3 linked regions of the Drosophila melanogaster genome follow. The protein of the gene in region 1 purifies or fractionates together with the protein of each later gene. This does not show direct contact. Each region holds a gene or a part of one and is shown in the gene's direction. Other genes may lie near its edges.

Region 1 (4,759 bases):
CTATGGAACATTTATGACCTAGTCACAGCACTCTTAGCAAGAAAGAACCAAGACAGTACTAGTCCATTTCTATTGCACTTTTATTGGAAAAAAACAAAGAACTCATTCTGGTTTAATTACCCACGGACATGGTGGTTGAATCTTTATTATCAAACTGATACCTTTTGAAATGGGAATTCATAAATTCATGTCAAATAGATTGTTATTCCAGGGTAAACATGAGTTGTTTATTAAATGTAATCCATTGAAGAGGAATAAATAAAGTGCAGGAATGCATCTTCCTCAGCAGCTTCCCAGGACGCAGGAGGATAGCTCCGGTCGGTAGTAAGTCCCATTGGGGCAGTCCATGTGCCGCAGGGTGCCATTTAGAGCCGAGCAGTAGTAGTACTTCCGGCAGTCGTTTCCATCGGCCATCAAGCCCACGTGCTGACAGGTGTTGGGCAGCACCGAAAAGTCGTCGTCGTTGGGATCCTCGATGATCACCGAAGGATCATCGGTGCTGGGCGGCAGGACATTCGATCCGCTGCGGCAGACGTAGTCCACGAAGGTCTCGCCATCGTTGCACCTGTGCAGCGAGGGGTAGATGACGATGGTGTCGTTCAGGTTCTGGTTAACCGTCGACTTGCACACGTAGAAGATATTGGGATTGGTGGGCCAGGCGGCCACGTGTCCGGCATTGGGGCAGTAGTACTGTCGCTGCAGGCAGACGGAGTCAGTCAGGGTCAAAGTGCACTGGCCAGTCGTCGCATCGAAGGCCTTGTCGTTGCCGCAATCAACGGCAGCAGCCACCAGAGTGGCCCCCACGAAGTAGCACATGTGGTACTTCTGGCAGTCGTACGGATCTGGAAAGATGCCTTGCGAGGTGCACTGAAAGTTGCCCTCGATGCCGAACGGATGACACGGGCCCGTCTCGTTGGTGCAGCTCCCCAGCCGGGCGTTGCAGTAGTATCCATTAGCCACGTCGCACGATTCCACGGGAATGTTCACCCATCCGTTGGAGTGACGCACGCAGGTGGCCAGCAGCTCGCAGGACTCGCAGATGGGCCCGGGACTCTGACGGCCCTCGCAGGAGTTTGTCTCCCGCGGCTGGATGCGCCGGGTGGTAACAGTGGCTCCCATAAGCAGAGCCACCAGGTTGAGCAGTAACTGTTGGGCGGTGGGGACATAAAAATCAAATGCCATTCACTTAAGTTTATCCTATTCTGAAAAACTACCTACCACGCTCACTAGTATTCTTTCCAAGAACATGACGATGTATTTCCCCTTTTGGACTTTGTTTCTGGTTAGTTTAGGTCCAACTTCCACGAGAATCTTCGATTGTCTGATTCAGACTCATATGGTGACAGCAATAAAAGTCCCGAAATAGCAGACTTTAGATAGCGTTTTATATCTTTTGGGTGTCTGTTTGTCTATCTATCAACTTTGAAAAGGCGATGGGAGTTGGGCAAAGTGGCAAACGCAGCGGCGTTTCTAATTACAACAACTACGCGGATCGGAATGCCGCAATGATGGGTGAGTGAACGACATTTACTAAAAATTGGTCCAACTAGCTGGAGTGTCAAGTGGAGTGGGTGTTTAATGTGTAAACAAGTCGGGATTTTGTTTGGCCGACTTATTCAGAGCACTTTAAAGTGCTCTCGAGTAAATATTTAAATACCATTTCTTTCAATAAAACTGACCGCTAGCTTTTGTAAATATGCACTTTTAGTAAAGGAATTTAATGCCTAATCTTCGGTTCATACCTAATCTTCAATCATAAAAAATCGCTGAGAGAAATAACGGGAATGGGTTGGGTCACCGCTAAGCGCTTAGCCACGTCCTCCACCGCTCTGCTGAAGCGGAACCCTGCTGCGCGACCAGTGTGAACGAACTTCTTTGAACGATAGTCAGTTCGGAAGCACGCACTCATGTCGATAGTGTCACCTCGAACGCCCTAACAAATAAAAAAAAGGAGGAGGAGCAAAAGGACAAAGGATGAGCAAGATTCCAGGCAGCAATCTGGAGTTCGTCCGCGAGGAGGACTTCGTGGAGTACTACATCTTTCCCAAGATCCCCGACAACGTACAGGATGAGGGCGCGCTGCGCAAACTGATGCTTCAGATCCGCAACGAGATCTCGGCCATTGTAAGGGAAAAGTCCTTAGAGCGCAGCTATCTGTGGCACAAGGACGAGTTTCAGCTTCAGGTGAGGCTGGGCGGCGCCGAGGAGCGCCTGCTGAACGAGGAGACAAACCCGGAGGAGGAGGCGGAACTGGGTATGCGCACAATGTGCTATAAATAGCTTTGTTTCTGCAATTCGAAATCATCCATTTCCATGTCCCCGCCCAGGCGACCTCCCACCGCACTTCCACGGCGTAACCCACTATGGCGACAACATCAGCGACGAGTGGTTCGTTGTCTATCTGCTCACGGAGATCACACGTGCACGCGGCGACTGCATTGCACGGGTGAGCGATTCGGATGGCGAGTTCCTGCTCATCGAGGCGGCGGACGCCCTGCCCGACTGGGCGTCTCCGGAAACGTGCGAGCAGCGCGTTTATCTGGTCGGTGGTCACCTGCAGCTTCTCCAGAACTCCGCCGCCAGCAGCCAGGACAAGCCACTGACCATGGCCATGGCTGTGCAACGTATACGAATGAATCCCACCCTGTACCGCTGCTCGCAGGAGATACAGTCGTGCATTGACGCGCGGCTTAAGGAGTACCAGATCGCTCAGCCGCACTTCTCCATTCATCGCCAGGTGCTGGAGCTCCCGCATAGCGCTGCACAGCTTCTGAAACAGAAGCCAAGGCTGCTCTCCTCGGCGGTTAGGGCTTTCTGCGAGCGGGACTCGCTGGACATCAAGGCACTTCGCACCATGCGATATTTCCCACCGGAGGCCACACGCGTGCGCACCAACGTGCGTTTCACCCGCTGTCTGTACGCCATGTTGTCGCACCAGCAGTATCTGCCCGAGAAGAGACTCGGCTGGCATCTCACGGATCCTGTATCCGAGCCGGAACGATATAAGGAACAACTATTGGGCTTGAAGCTGGCCAGTGGACTGGAGATCCTGGCCACTCAAGCCAAGCGGGTTGAGGGCCAACAGCTGGAGGACCTTCCTGCCTGGCGATCGTATCTGCGGAGCTTGCTGAGCAAGGGCTACTTCCGGGACAACATCGAGGGCAGTGCCGAGTACCAGGAGCTGCTGAACAAGGCCAAGGTGTACTTTCGTGGCAACCAGGAGCGTTTCCGCACAGCCTCCAGAGCGGGTGCCGAGATCCTCGACCTGTTGCTCCATCCAGCGGAGGCTGCTTCCGAGGAGCTGCGCGATGAGGAGAACAACCTGCAGCCCAGCGACTCGGATGAGTGGTTGAATATCAGCGCTGAGGATCTAGACTCCATGCTGCAGGATCGCTACGGACCCAAGAAGCTCTACAAGCCGAACGGACAAATGAATGCCGAGGAGTTCACCAAGCAGCTGGCGGAGTTCTTAGATCGGCAGTCCAACTACGAGGGCATTGAGCACCGAGGGCTCGAGGAGCCAGAACTGGACTCAGACGATGACGAGCCGCCGCCGCAGGCAAACGGTTCCACAGGACTGACAGCAAAGGTCAAGAAGAATCCCTCCATGCGCAAGGCGTGCCAGCGCAATTCCGTCATCCAGCCGGAGGAACCGGACAGCACCCATGTGCGGAATTTCCTGGATTTCGTAATACCCGAGGACAACTGGGACTCCACCTCGGAGATGAGCGACTACGCGGACGAGGACGACATGGAGAGTAATCTAAATGCACTTTCTGGAGGCGGCAGTGTGTTCCCACTCGATCGACAGATTCAATCGTATATGGAGCAGATGGACCGCGAGTTGGCTCAGACCAGCGTGGGCAAGTCCTTCCACGGCAAGAAGAAGACAGCTCCACAGGCGGACGAGGACGATTTCGATGACATTGAGGACTTTGAGCCCATCAATATAAACGTAAACACGCTGCGCAACATGATGGATAGCTACCAATCGCAGGTTGGCGGCGCAGGTCCTGTATCCAATCTGTTTAGCGCCATGGGCGTGGGCATGTCGGCTGTCGAGGACAAGGAACAAAAGGATATATCTGAGTCGGCCGTTTAAGCGGGATTACAGGAATTAGTATAGTCTTAAGTCCATTAAATAAACGTCAATGTGAATATTTCAATGTAATGCAGAGTATTCTTATTTGATATATTCGATAACTAATCCTTGGATGCAGGCACAAAGTTTCCATAGTCGCGTCTGACCTTCATGGGTGGTTCGTTATTGGGAGTATCATTTCTCTGGTTATGATCATGGGAGCGCTTGTAGCCTCCAGATCCTCCGGACCCTCCGCCTCCTTCGTACCGATTCCGGCGATCGATGTGATCGTATCTGTTGTTGCGCCGGTTGTCTGTGGGAACAAATGCGTTGGTAAGCTATAAATAGAAACTGAGCTTCTTCCCGGGTATTACCCCTGAATCCCCTGTCCTGGTTGTTGTGGTAGCCAGCTCCTCCTCGTCGCTGCCAGCCCCTGTCGCCGCCTCCTCTGCGATGTCCGTTGTAGCGATTGTGGTAGGGATGACCACCGCCTCCTCCGCCCTGGAAGCCGCCTCCTCCTCCGCCACCTCCCATCCAGTTCTCCACAATTGGCGGCTCCGGCACAGGCTTGCTGCAGTGCGCCATGAACTCTGGGTCGTCGTCAGTGAAGCGGTCTGCGAACTCAAGCTCGCAGGACTCCAGGAAGTTCAGGTCCCTTTCGACCAGACGGTTTATCTT
Region 2 (4,954 bases), on another chromosome or scaffold:
ATGACCAAATAAACACACATTTCATAAATGATATTAATATCCACAAGCAGCTTCAACTTTTAATAATTTGGAACACTTGATGTAGGAAATGCATTTAACTTGGATTTTAAGTTGAAAAACAGGTAGTATTTCAGAGAATTATGAGTTTTAAATAGTTTATGGCCGCAATAACTAACTTCTATAGTATGGTTTTCTTTTGAAATTTTACAAAGAGTTATATACTATATAAACTTCTGGCTGATATCCATTGTATAGACCAGCTTTCTTGTGACCCCGTTTATGGCCTGAAATTTGGCCATGTGGATCGTTAAAGATAGGTCCAACTAAAGGTTCAGATGTGTGTAATTACTCGACTTGGCCAACTCGGAATTTTGCTGGCCGGCTTATGTATGTTACGTTAGCCGCCTCAATTTCTTTGGAAGTTCAAAAAACAAAAAAGAAATCCGGTTTTGGACAATTGAAATTTGAAAATAATAAACCACACATGCGAGCGTAGTCGTACGTAAAGTGTTTTTTGTTTTTGTTTTGTTTTTATTGCAATAAAGCCGGTGTTAATTGTGCTCTGGGGTCAAAAACTGCCGCTGACGTCATCAACTCGTCGTTGCAAGACAGTGAAAGGGTTAAAATTTCAAAACTGGGGGGCTTGCTTGTATAACTTCTTTGGTCACTAGTGCGATTACATAGGATTTTGTGGATTAAGGAACGTATGTCCATATGTCTGAAACTTCTTGCTTAAGGAACGTTTTTCGGTCTGGCATCATAGTATTATCCCCAAACTGGGTAAATTCGGGGACGATAGAATCCGCCTCCGTAGGAGCGATATCCGCCGTAGCCGCCGTAACCGGAATATCCGCCGTACTTGTAGCCACCTCCATAGCCGCCGTAGTAAATTGGCGATGGAGCTGCATAGTAGCCGTAGCCAATGGAGTCCGCGGTGGAGAGATCAGCCTCCTCAGCGGGTTTCTTGTCCTGCCAAGCGAATGGATTTTGTTGGTTGGTTTTGAAATGGAAAAACTAAAGATATGACCTACCTCTATAGGAGCTGCGCTGATGAATCCGATAATAGCCAGGCACAAAAGGATGGAAAATAACTGAAAATGTTCACAACATTTACTCATTATGATAGAAACACTTTTTGTTTGTGTGTAATACCTTTGCCATTGTTGCTTTTATTTGCGAAATTTAACGGGGATGCACTCTAGATTTTATGTTTTTCTCTCAAATTAGCAACTTTTCCCGATCGTGTTCTGGCCAGAAGCGTTGTTGTCCGTAAACTGTGATCCCCAGCGACCTGCCGACAATATTTATAGTGGCCCAAAACGTCCCGGGGATCGATTTTGCACATGATCATTGATTGGACAAACATTCGGGAGTCTGGGGATGTCGTTACCCGATGCGAAATGAGGTGTTTCATTATCACAGATGACTCGATGGGATCTTCCAATTCGGTTATTTGAATTTCTAAGCTACAGTGAGCATTAGTTAATGGCCAAAGAAAAAGTTATTTAGTGTTTTATTTATTCGGTTTGTTGTTAGCTAAAGTCGACTGTGTGTTCTTATTTTTACCAGTCATCAACAATAATATTGACGCACTACACTAATTAAGTTCCTAATTATTAATATTAACACATTTGTTGACGAGCTGATTCATTGATTTAATTACAAGGATTTAGCCTTAATTAAAAATGCTAATGTCTCGATATTTTTTACTACTACAATACAAAGTAATTTAAGTGAATAAGGCTAATTAGTTTTAGTCGTCGCAGTTTTGGTGAATTTGTAATATATTCCCCAATAACACCGTTATTTAAATTTTCAAATTTGCTCGCACTTTGTGTGGTTATCTTGACTGCTTTTTACCACTAGACTGTTTAGCAATTCACCTAATCTCTCGATAGACGATAGATGTCTTATCGATTGAGTGATGTGACCGTTCTACTATTCTATAAATGGCTGCCGCATGAAAAAGTAAACCTCTCGTTTTGCGAACCGGAAAAATTGTGAATTGCGGCCAAAGAAAGGCAGAAAAAGTGCCAAATAGGCAGTACAGTTGCAAATTAACTGCCAGGTAAGATATTCAAACCAAGATTAGCTGGGGGAAAAGCGAAATTTACGCTTTTTCACAGCGTGGTGAAAATTGCAAAAGACCGCGACGTCGGCGGCGGCATTTCGATTTCTCCCCCTGAAACAAAACGTGTCTGTGTGTCGTAAAGTGTATGTTTTTCGTCGTTTATTGATTAGGATAAGTGCCGCGGAACGATGTCCATTCCGCCGTACATGATACCACAAAATGCGTGGGCAGCCCAGCTGATGGCCCAGCAGGCCTACGCGGCTGCCCATGCTCAGCAGGCTCAACTGCACGCCCAGCAGCAGATGGCCAACCAAATTCAGCAGATTCCGCCACCGGGGGCTCCGCTGCCGCCGGCCGGTGGCCATACCAACGGTATACCCATCCCGGTGGGAGGTCAGGGACCCGGATTGGGCCAGATTCCCACGCCCAAGCCGGACATACTCACCGAGGAGAAGCTGCAGGAGAAGGCGCTTAAATGGCAGCATCTGCAGTCCAAGCGATTCGCTGAGAAGCGCAAGTTTGGCTTCGTGGATACCCAGAAGGAGGATATGCCGCCGGAGCACATCAGGAAGATCATTCGCGATCACGGAGATATGACGTCGCGCAAGTATCGTCATGACAAGCGAGTATATCTCGGCGCCCTGAAGTACATGCCACATGCTGTGCTCAAGCTGCTAGAGAACATGCCAATGCCATGGGAGCAGATCCGGGATGTCCAGGTGCTGTACCACATCACTGGAGCCATTACCTTTGTCAATGAGATTCCCTGGGTTATTGAGCCCGTCTACATAGCACAATGGGGGTAAGTTGACTTTAACTTGTCCTCGTGGACACAACTGACGTTAAACACTTCCGCAGTACAATGTGGATCATGATGCGGCGTGAGAAACGCGATCGTCGCCACTTTAAGCGCATGAGATTCCCGCCATTTGACGATGAAGAGCCGCCTCTAGACTATGCCGACAACGTGCTGGACGTGGAGCCCTTGGAGGCCATTCAAATTGAGCTGGACAATGACGAAGACAATGCTGTATACAAATGGTTTTATGACCATCGTCCTCTAGTGGATACACAGTGAGTTTTGATTTGTCATTTATATCTGATCTTGTTTTGATTCATTTATTACCATCTAAGGTTTGTGAACGGCACTACCTACCGAAAGTGGAATCTTTCCCTGCCTCAGCTAGCCACGCTGTATCGATTGGCCAATCAATTGCTCACCGATCTAGTCGACAATAACTTCTTTTATTTGTTTGACCCAAAAAGTTTCTTCACCGCCAAGGCTCTTAATATGGCCATTCCAGGAGGACCTAAGTTTGAACCCCTCATTAAGGACCACAATGTTGGGTAAGACAATGCATACCCTAAATACTTGTTAAAATGTAATTCCTGCTTTTATTTAATTTTAGGGACGAGGATTGGAACGAGTTCAATGACATTAACAAAGTCATTATCCGGCAGCCAATTCGCACGGAATACCGCATTGCCTTTCCTTACTTGTACAACAATATGCCACACTTTGTGCATTTGAGCTGGTAAGAGTCCACATTCTTCAAAAATTACCATTCTAAAATCTTATTTACGTGGTTAGAAACGTTTCCAAGTGATCAGCCTCTCTGGAAATGCTTCATGCCGCGTTAGAAAAACGACGAGCTCCCAGGTTACTGCCAAATTTGCGATAAAACGGGAGCTGCAATGAATATGTTCGTGGCGATTGTTAAGAATTAATCGTGACTGCTGATAGTTGCATACATATAAACTCATTTGTAGCTTAGAGGATCCACATGACCACATGATGTACTTTGTCTATTTCAGGTATCACACTCCCAACGTGGTCTACATCAAGACCGAAGATCCCGATCTGCCTGCATTTTACTTTGATCCGCTCATCAATCCCATATCCCATCGCAATGCAAACTCGAAGATTCAGGAGCCCCTACCTGATGACGACGAGGACTTTACTCTTCCGGACGACGTGCAGCCGTTCCTGCAGGACACTCCCCTGTACACTGACAACACTGCAAACGGAATCGCCTTGCTGTGGGCACCCCGCCCCTTTAACATGCGCTCTGGTCGCTCCCGTCGTGCCATCGATGTGCCGCTGGTCAAGTGCTGGTACAAGGAGCATTGTCCACCTGGCCATCCGGTTAAGGTGCGCGTTAGCTACCAGAAACTGCTCAAATACTATGTGCTCAATGCCCTAAAACACCGCAAACCAAAGCCACAAAAGAAACGGTGAGTTTTATTTAAATCAAACTATAGAAACGTTTTGAATTGTATCCTTACTTTGCAGCTACCTCTTCCGTTCGTTTAAGGCCACAAAATTCTTCCAGACCACAACTCTGGATTGGGTTGAGGCTGGACTGCAAGTTTGTCGTCAGGGATATAACATGTTGAATCTATTGATTCACCGAAAAAATCTTAACTACTTGCATTTAGATTACAATTTCAACTTGAAGCCCGTTAAAACTCTGACCACCAAGGAGCGTAAGAAGTCGCGATTCGGAAATGGTAAGCAGTTAAATTTCTAAAAATTTCCCTTTTATCAATTCCTTTCATTCCTATTAGCTTTCCATTTGTGCCGTGAGATCCTGCGTCTGACCAAGCTAATCATTGACTCTCATGTTCAGTATCGGCTAAACAATGTGGACGCCTTTCAGTTGGCTGACGGACTGCAGTACATATTCGCCCATGTTGGCCAGCTGACTGGCATGTATCGCTATAAATACAAGCTGATGAGGCAGATTCGAATGTGTAAGGATCTGAAACATTTGATATACTATCGCTTCAACACGGGGCCCGTGGGCAAGGGACCCGGATGTGGCTTTTGGGCACCTGGATGGCGAGTCTGGCTGTTCTTTATGCGCGGCATCACTCCGCTAC
Region 3 (5,989 bases), on another chromosome or scaffold:
GAGGTGAGTTGGTCGCAGGCTCAAGGAAACCAATAGGCAGGAGAAACGCCGCGAGTTTATGGCGCGTAGGGAGCTCTCCAGGCCGAGATGTATTCCGTATCGAGTGGCAAACGATTTGGTCTGCCCGTCGCTGCTTTTAATTGCATTCTGAAGGATCTGACGGAACTGCTGCACTTCCTCCTCCGATAAAAGAGGGCTAAAGTCAAAAGAAACAACCTGTTGATTGGGTTTTTATTGGTTTCTGCCCGCCTCACCTGTGCTGTTTGTAAGGATTGGCTAGAATATTGCGCAGTTTGGGCAGCAATTTCTTTTTGCCCTTAGCTTCTTTCTGTTTTATGCTGGACAAACTCATGTTTACGATATAAACTAATAAAAAATAAAAAATTTCTGCTGAAAAATCAAACAACAATGTGTTTGGCTTTTGGCCAGTGTGACCGCGTTTCTTAGTTTAAAATAAGCCATAGCTTAAATCGCGTTGCCAATTGCTTTACGTTTTTATTTAAATTAAAACTCTTAATTTTTGCTTCTAAAAATTTTTAATCAAACTCTTAATTTTTATTTGCAATCATTTTCAGTACCAGTAAAGTTCCGGCTCCGTGTCCGAAGAGTACTTCAATTTTCTCGGTCTCTGGCGAACGTAATCTTCGACGAAATTCAATTGCCTTGGTGTTGTGGTTTCTACTTGAGTTTCTACTATTTCCGTTGTTGTTAAATTAAATCCAAATGGTGTTGATAATGTAGAACTTTCCTCTTCGGTGCTGTCAATCACTGCATCCAGATACGACGTGGTAGTTTCCACGCCCGGAGTCGTGGCAATGATTTCCAGCAAGGATGTAGTAGATTCCTGGGTTTCTGTGGTTGAAAACAATTCTTCTGTTGAAGTTTCTGCTGTTTCAGTTGTAGTTTGATCTGTGGATAATGCAAACGTGGATTCGTTCGGTTCTGTGGTAGAATCAGCAGATTCAGTCGTTGATTCCGGCAATTCTGTAGTGCTTGGATTGATTTCTATTTCTGTGGTAGTTTTTATTAGTTCTTTCTCTGAAAATTCAGAACTTAAAGTAGTCGTTGATTCCGGAAATTCCGTAGTACTTGGCATAAACTCTGTTGTTGTTGATTCCTGCAATCCTGTAGAGCTCTGAATGGTTTCTGTAGTAGTTTCTTGCCATCCTGTAGATAAATCTGGATAAATTAACGTTGATTCAGCATATTCAGTACTGTCTGAATTGCTTTCTGTCGTTGAATCTGCAGCTTCTGGACTCGAAGTTGTTGTGGAATATAGGGCTACTGATTCAGTGGCATCTATAGCATCTGTGCTGGTGACTTCCGGCCAAGCTGTTGTCGTGGAATATAAAGTATCCGTGGTTGAAGTTACATAACTAGATTCGGTGGTTGAATAATCCACCGCCGTAGTTGTAGATTCCTCAGTGGCACTTTTCTCCGTTGTAGTAGATACTTCCCCAGTGAAGTAGCCAGTAGTCTCCTGCGGATTGGTGGCCACCGTAGTTGTGTCCCAAAAATCTCCATCGAACGGATTGGTAAAATTTACGATGCGCGGCTTGTAGGGTGTGTAGATTTTGGCTTTGTAAGGCTTGTGGTTCTTGATGTATTCCTTGGCTATGCTAATCCACTCCTCGCGACCGAGAATATCGTTTAAATTTCGGCTTGAGGCCACAAAATGCGCCATTAAAAGAAGCAAACAGAATTTTCTCATTATGATGCTGATACCTTCGGTTGACACTTTCGACTAATTACCTTTGGCGACTGCAGTGCAATATAAACGCAAGGGTCTACCTACGTTTCAACGCGTATTTTAGCTACCTGCTTTCTTGGCAAAAACGTTAATTAGCCCTAATGAACTGGAAAATTCAAATGTTGCCGCCAGGGCTGCAAGCGCTTACTTTATTTGTGCTGGCAATGCCGTAGGTAATGCCGGCCGCTTAACAGCTGAGTGTTTTTCGGGGAAGAAGAAGAACAGCGTGTTTGCAGTCCGCGTTTTTGTGTAAAAATTGTGAATAATTATATTATTTGCAGTTTTCTTACGTTTTAAAGAAGAATTTAGCAATCAGAAGGTCCTGTAACAATTGGTAAGTCGGTAAAAACAACAAAAAACAAGAGTAGCATAAGTTTCGAGTCACCGTGAAAGTTTTAAATTTTCTAAGACGCCACCGGCAAATTTTGAATGAAAGTATTGATATATATATTTATTTTAGGAAAAACCATGGATTCCGATTTGTACGATGAGTTTGGCAACTATATTGGCCCCGATTTAGACAGCGACGAGGAAGATGAGCAAAGTATTTATGGGCAACCCGATGTGCAGGATGACCCAGAGGTATAAACGTGCAAAAAATAAAATAAAACTTATAATTAATTTATGGTGTTTCATTTAAAGGACGCCATGGACGAGGACGAGGTGGAGCCACAGGAGGACGAGGACAAGGAGGTGACCGCCGTGGTTTTGCACGAGGACAAACGCTACTATCCGTCAGCAGTTGAGGTCTACGGCCCGGATGTGGAGACCATTGTCCAGGAGGAGGACGCCCAGCCGCTGGACAAGCCGCTTATAGAGCCAGTGAAGAAGCTCAAGTTCCAGATCAAGGAGCAAGACATGCAGGAGACCACCTACGACATGGAGTTCATGGCCGATCTCATGGACACTCCGCCGCTTATTCGCAACGTGGCTTTGGTTGGCCACCTGCACCACGGCAAGACCACCTTTGTCGACTGCCTCATCCGGCAGACGCATCCGCAATTTGAGACCATGGAGGAGCGCCAGTTGCGCTACACGGACACCCTGTTCACGGAACAGGAACGCGGCTGCAGCATCAAGGCCACGCCGGTCACACTTGTCCTGCAGGATGTCAAACAGAAGAGCTACTTGCTGAACATCTTCGACACCCCGGGGCATGTCAACTTCTCGGACGAGGCCACCGCCGCCATGCGAATGAGCGATGGTGTCGTGCTGTTCATCGATGCCGCCGAGGGCGTCATGCTCAACACGGAGCGACTGCTCAAGCACGCGGTGCAAGAGCGCCAGGCTATCACCGTTTGCATAAACAAGGTGAGGGTTTGGCCTTAAGGTGACACTAAACTTTCTAATGGTTTCCTCTGACGTGCAGATTGATCGCCTCATCCTGGAGCTGAAATTGCCGCCCCAGGACGCCTACTTTAAGTTGAAACACATTGTGGAGGAAGTCAATGGGCTGCTGAGGTGATTACGTGATTCATACTCAACACTAATGATTTTACTAATGTGTAATTTTCTTACAGCACCTATGGCGCTCCAGATGACAATCTCTTAGTTTCGCCTATTTTGGGCAACGTGTGCTTCGCCAGCTCGTTGTACGGATTTTGTTTCACTCTGAAATCCTTTGCCAAGCTGTATGCAGACACCTATGAGGGAGTGGCTTACCTGGACTTTGCCAAGCGGCTCTGGGGTGACATGTACTTCAACAGTAAAACGTAAGTGCTGCCTAAATATCCAAATCATTTGCTAATACCAACTATTTTAATAGGCGCAAGTTCTCGAAGAAGCAGCCGCACAATTCGGCACAGCGCAGCTTTGTGGAGTTCATTTTGGAGCCCATGTACAAGCTGATAGCCCAGGTGGTTGGCGATGTGGACACCACTTTGTCGGACACTCTGGCCGAGCTGAATGTGCGCGTCTCCAAGGAGGAGATGAAGTCCAATATAAGACCACTGCTGCGTCTCGTCTGTAACCGCTTCATGGGCGACTGCAGCGGTTTTGTGGATATGTGCGTGGAGCACATTAAATCCCCTTTGGAAAATGCCAAGCGAAAGGTGGACCATATATACACTGGACCCAAAGAGGGTGACATTTACCGGGATATGATATCATGCAACCAATACGGCACTCTGATGGTGCACAGTTCCAAGATGTATCCCAACGACGACTGTACCTTCTTCCAAGTGCTGGCGAGGATTGTCTCTGGTACTCTACACGCTGGCCAGGAGGTGCGTGTCCTGGGAGAGAACTACACCTTGCAGGATGAGGAGGACTCTCGCATTCTGCAAGTCGGTCGTCTGTGGGTATTTGAGTCTCGTTACAAGGTGGAGTTAAATCGTGTACCCGCCGGAAATTGGGTGCTCATCGAAGGCATCGATCAGTGTATCGTTAAGACCTCCACAATTGTGGATATTAATGTTCCAGAAGACCTCTACATATTCCGACCACTGAAGTTCAACACCCAGAGCATTATCAAGATTGCTGTGGAGCCAGTGAATCCATCCGAGCTTCCCAAGATGTTGGATGGCCTCCGCAAGGTGAATAAATCCTATCCACTTCTCTCCACTCGAGTTGAAGAATCCGGCGAGCATGTTATTCTGGGCACTGGCGAGCTGTACTTGGATTGTGTCATGCACGATCTGCGGAAGATGTACTCCGAGATCGACATCAAAGTGGCGGATCCCGTCGTGGCTTTTTGCGAAACAGTTGTGGAAACGAGTTCCCTGAAATGTTTCGCCGAAACGCCGAATAAGAAAAACAAAATAACCATGATCTCGGAGCCACTGGAGAAGGGACTGGCCGAGGACATTGAGAACGGAACCGTCTGCATAAACTGGAACAAAAAGCGCATCGGCGAGTTCTTCCAAGTCAACTACGATTGGGATCTGCTTGCGGCGCGTTCCATTTGGGCCTTCGGTCCCGACTCCACGGGTCCAAATATCCTGGTCGACGACACCCTGCCCTCGGAAGTGGACAAGAACCTGCTGACCGCGGTTAAGGATTCGATTGTGCAGGGCTTCCAATGGGGAACGCGAGAAGGGCCGCTGTGCGAGGAGCCAATCCGTAATGTCAAGTTTAAGATTCTCGATGGCGTCATCGCCAACGAGGCGTTGCATCGAGGCGGTGGACAGATCATTCCAACAGCCCGTCGTGTGGCATACTCGGCGTTTTTGATGGCCACCCCACGTTTAATGGAACCATATCTATTTGTGGAGGTTCAGGCGCCGGCAGATTGTGTATCCGCTGTCTATACTGTGCTGGCCAGGCGCAGGTAAGTTTTGCTGCTCATGTTTCCGTAAGAGAATGCCTCTAAATTTTATATAATCTATTTTGCAGAGGCCACGTAACGCAGGATGCTCCCGTATCGGGTTCTCCCATATATACGATCAAAGCCTTCATACCCGCCATTGATTCATTTGGATTTGAGACGGATCTCCGCACGCACACCCAGGGCCAGGCCTTCTGCCTTTCGGTGTTCCATCACTGGCAGATAGTGCCTGGCGATCCCCTGGACAAGAGCATCATAATCCGGCCACTGGAGCCGCAGCAAGCATCCCATTTGGCCAGAGAGTTTATGATCAAGACGCGTCGCAGGAAGGGTCTGTCCGAGGACGTGTCCATCAACAAATTCTTCGACGATCCTATGTTGCTGGAGTTGGCACGCCAGGATGTGCTGATCAACTACCCGCTTTAGACTTCCCACAAATCAGGAATCGGGAAAACAAATAAAACATTTAGACATACTTTCCGAATTTCAATTGCGAACTTTAAAGGGAGTAGTGTTTTTTTTTACTATATTTACTAAATATTTATTTGAAGCCTTTTCGGGACAAATAATTTACAAAATAGTATACAGAAAACAGCTACAGTTGTGATAGTTTCTAGGACTTTACTCGCCATTGCCGTTCTGCAGGACCTCCGACTCGTAGCCTTCCTGCTCGGCCTGCTCGTCATCGAACTCCACTTCGTCGTCGGCGGTAGCCTCCTAAAGGAGGAAACCAATGGAAATCGTTTTTAGAGATACTTTGCAAGGATATGGAGGGATCGCTAACCTGGTACTGTTGGTACTCGGATATCAGATCGTTCATGTTGCTCTCGGCCTCGGTGAACTCCATCTCGTCCATGCCCTCGCCGGTGTACCAGTGCAAGAAGGCCTTGCGCCGGAACATGGCAGTGAACTGCTCGGAGATGCGCTTAAAGATCTCCTGGATGGCGGTCGAGTTGCCAATGAAGGTGGCGGAC

Evidence for each region. Proteins that work in one complex are often made in the same cells at the same time.
Region 2: the proteins of ecd (region 1) and Prp8 purify together in Drosophila melanogaster (affinity purification with mass spectrometry; 2 studies listed by BioGRID, with this or other methods). This does not show direct contact.
Region 3: the proteins of ecd (region 1) and CG4849 purify together in Drosophila melanogaster (affinity purification with mass spectrometry; 2 studies listed by BioGRID, with this or other methods). This does not show direct contact.

The regions. Positions count from the first base shown.
Region 1 is NT_037436.4:2,262,991-2,267,749, reverse strand, and holds ecd (ecdysoneless), read left to right. Parts: upstream 1-1,892; 5' UTR 1,893-1,974; coding exon 1,975-2,254; intron 2,255-2,327; coding exon 2,328-4,102; 3' UTR 4,103-4,169; downstream 4,170-4,759. Other genes in the region: CG13806 (uncharacterized protein), read right to left, coding at 283-1,146, 1,219-1,248; CG13807 (uncharacterized protein), read right to left, coding at 4,204-4,394, 4,456-4,759. UniProt on the Drosophila melanogaster protein: Required in both the follicle cells and the germline for oocyte development.
Region 2 is NT_033778.4:12,159,999-12,164,952, reverse strand, and holds the start of Prp8 (pre-mRNA processing factor 8), read left to right. Parts: upstream 1-1,954; 5' UTR 1,955-2,068; intron 2,069-2,241; 5' UTR 2,242-2,259; coding exon 2,260-2,873; intron 2,874-2,929; coding exon 2,930-3,145; intron 3,146-3,205; coding exon 3,206-3,418; intron 3,419-3,480; coding exon 3,481-3,606; intron 3,607-3,649; exon of another isoform or gene 3,650-3,827; intron 3,828-3,886; coding exon 3,887-4,306; intron 4,307-4,364; coding exon 4,365-4,582; intron 4,583-4,639; coding exon 4,640-4,954. Other genes in the region: CG13177 (uncharacterized protein), read right to left, coding at 766-969, 1,032-1,091, 1,153-1,161.
Region 3 is NT_033777.3:27,961,470-27,967,458, forward strand, and holds CG4849 (uncharacterized protein), read left to right. Parts: upstream 1-1,945; 5' UTR 1,946-2,084; intron 2,085-2,210; 5' UTR 2,211-2,218; coding exon 2,219-2,332; intron 2,333-2,392; coding exon 2,393-3,061; intron 3,062-3,119; coding exon 3,120-3,211; intron 3,212-3,270; coding exon 3,271-3,462; intron 3,463-3,515; coding exon 3,516-5,018; intron 5,019-5,083; coding exon 5,084-5,441; 3' UTR 5,442-5,489; downstream 5,490-5,989. Other genes in the region: CG31131 (uncharacterized protein), read right to left, coding at 572-1,711; betaTub97EF (beta-Tubulin at 97EF), read right to left, coding at 5,637-5,732, 5,800-5,989.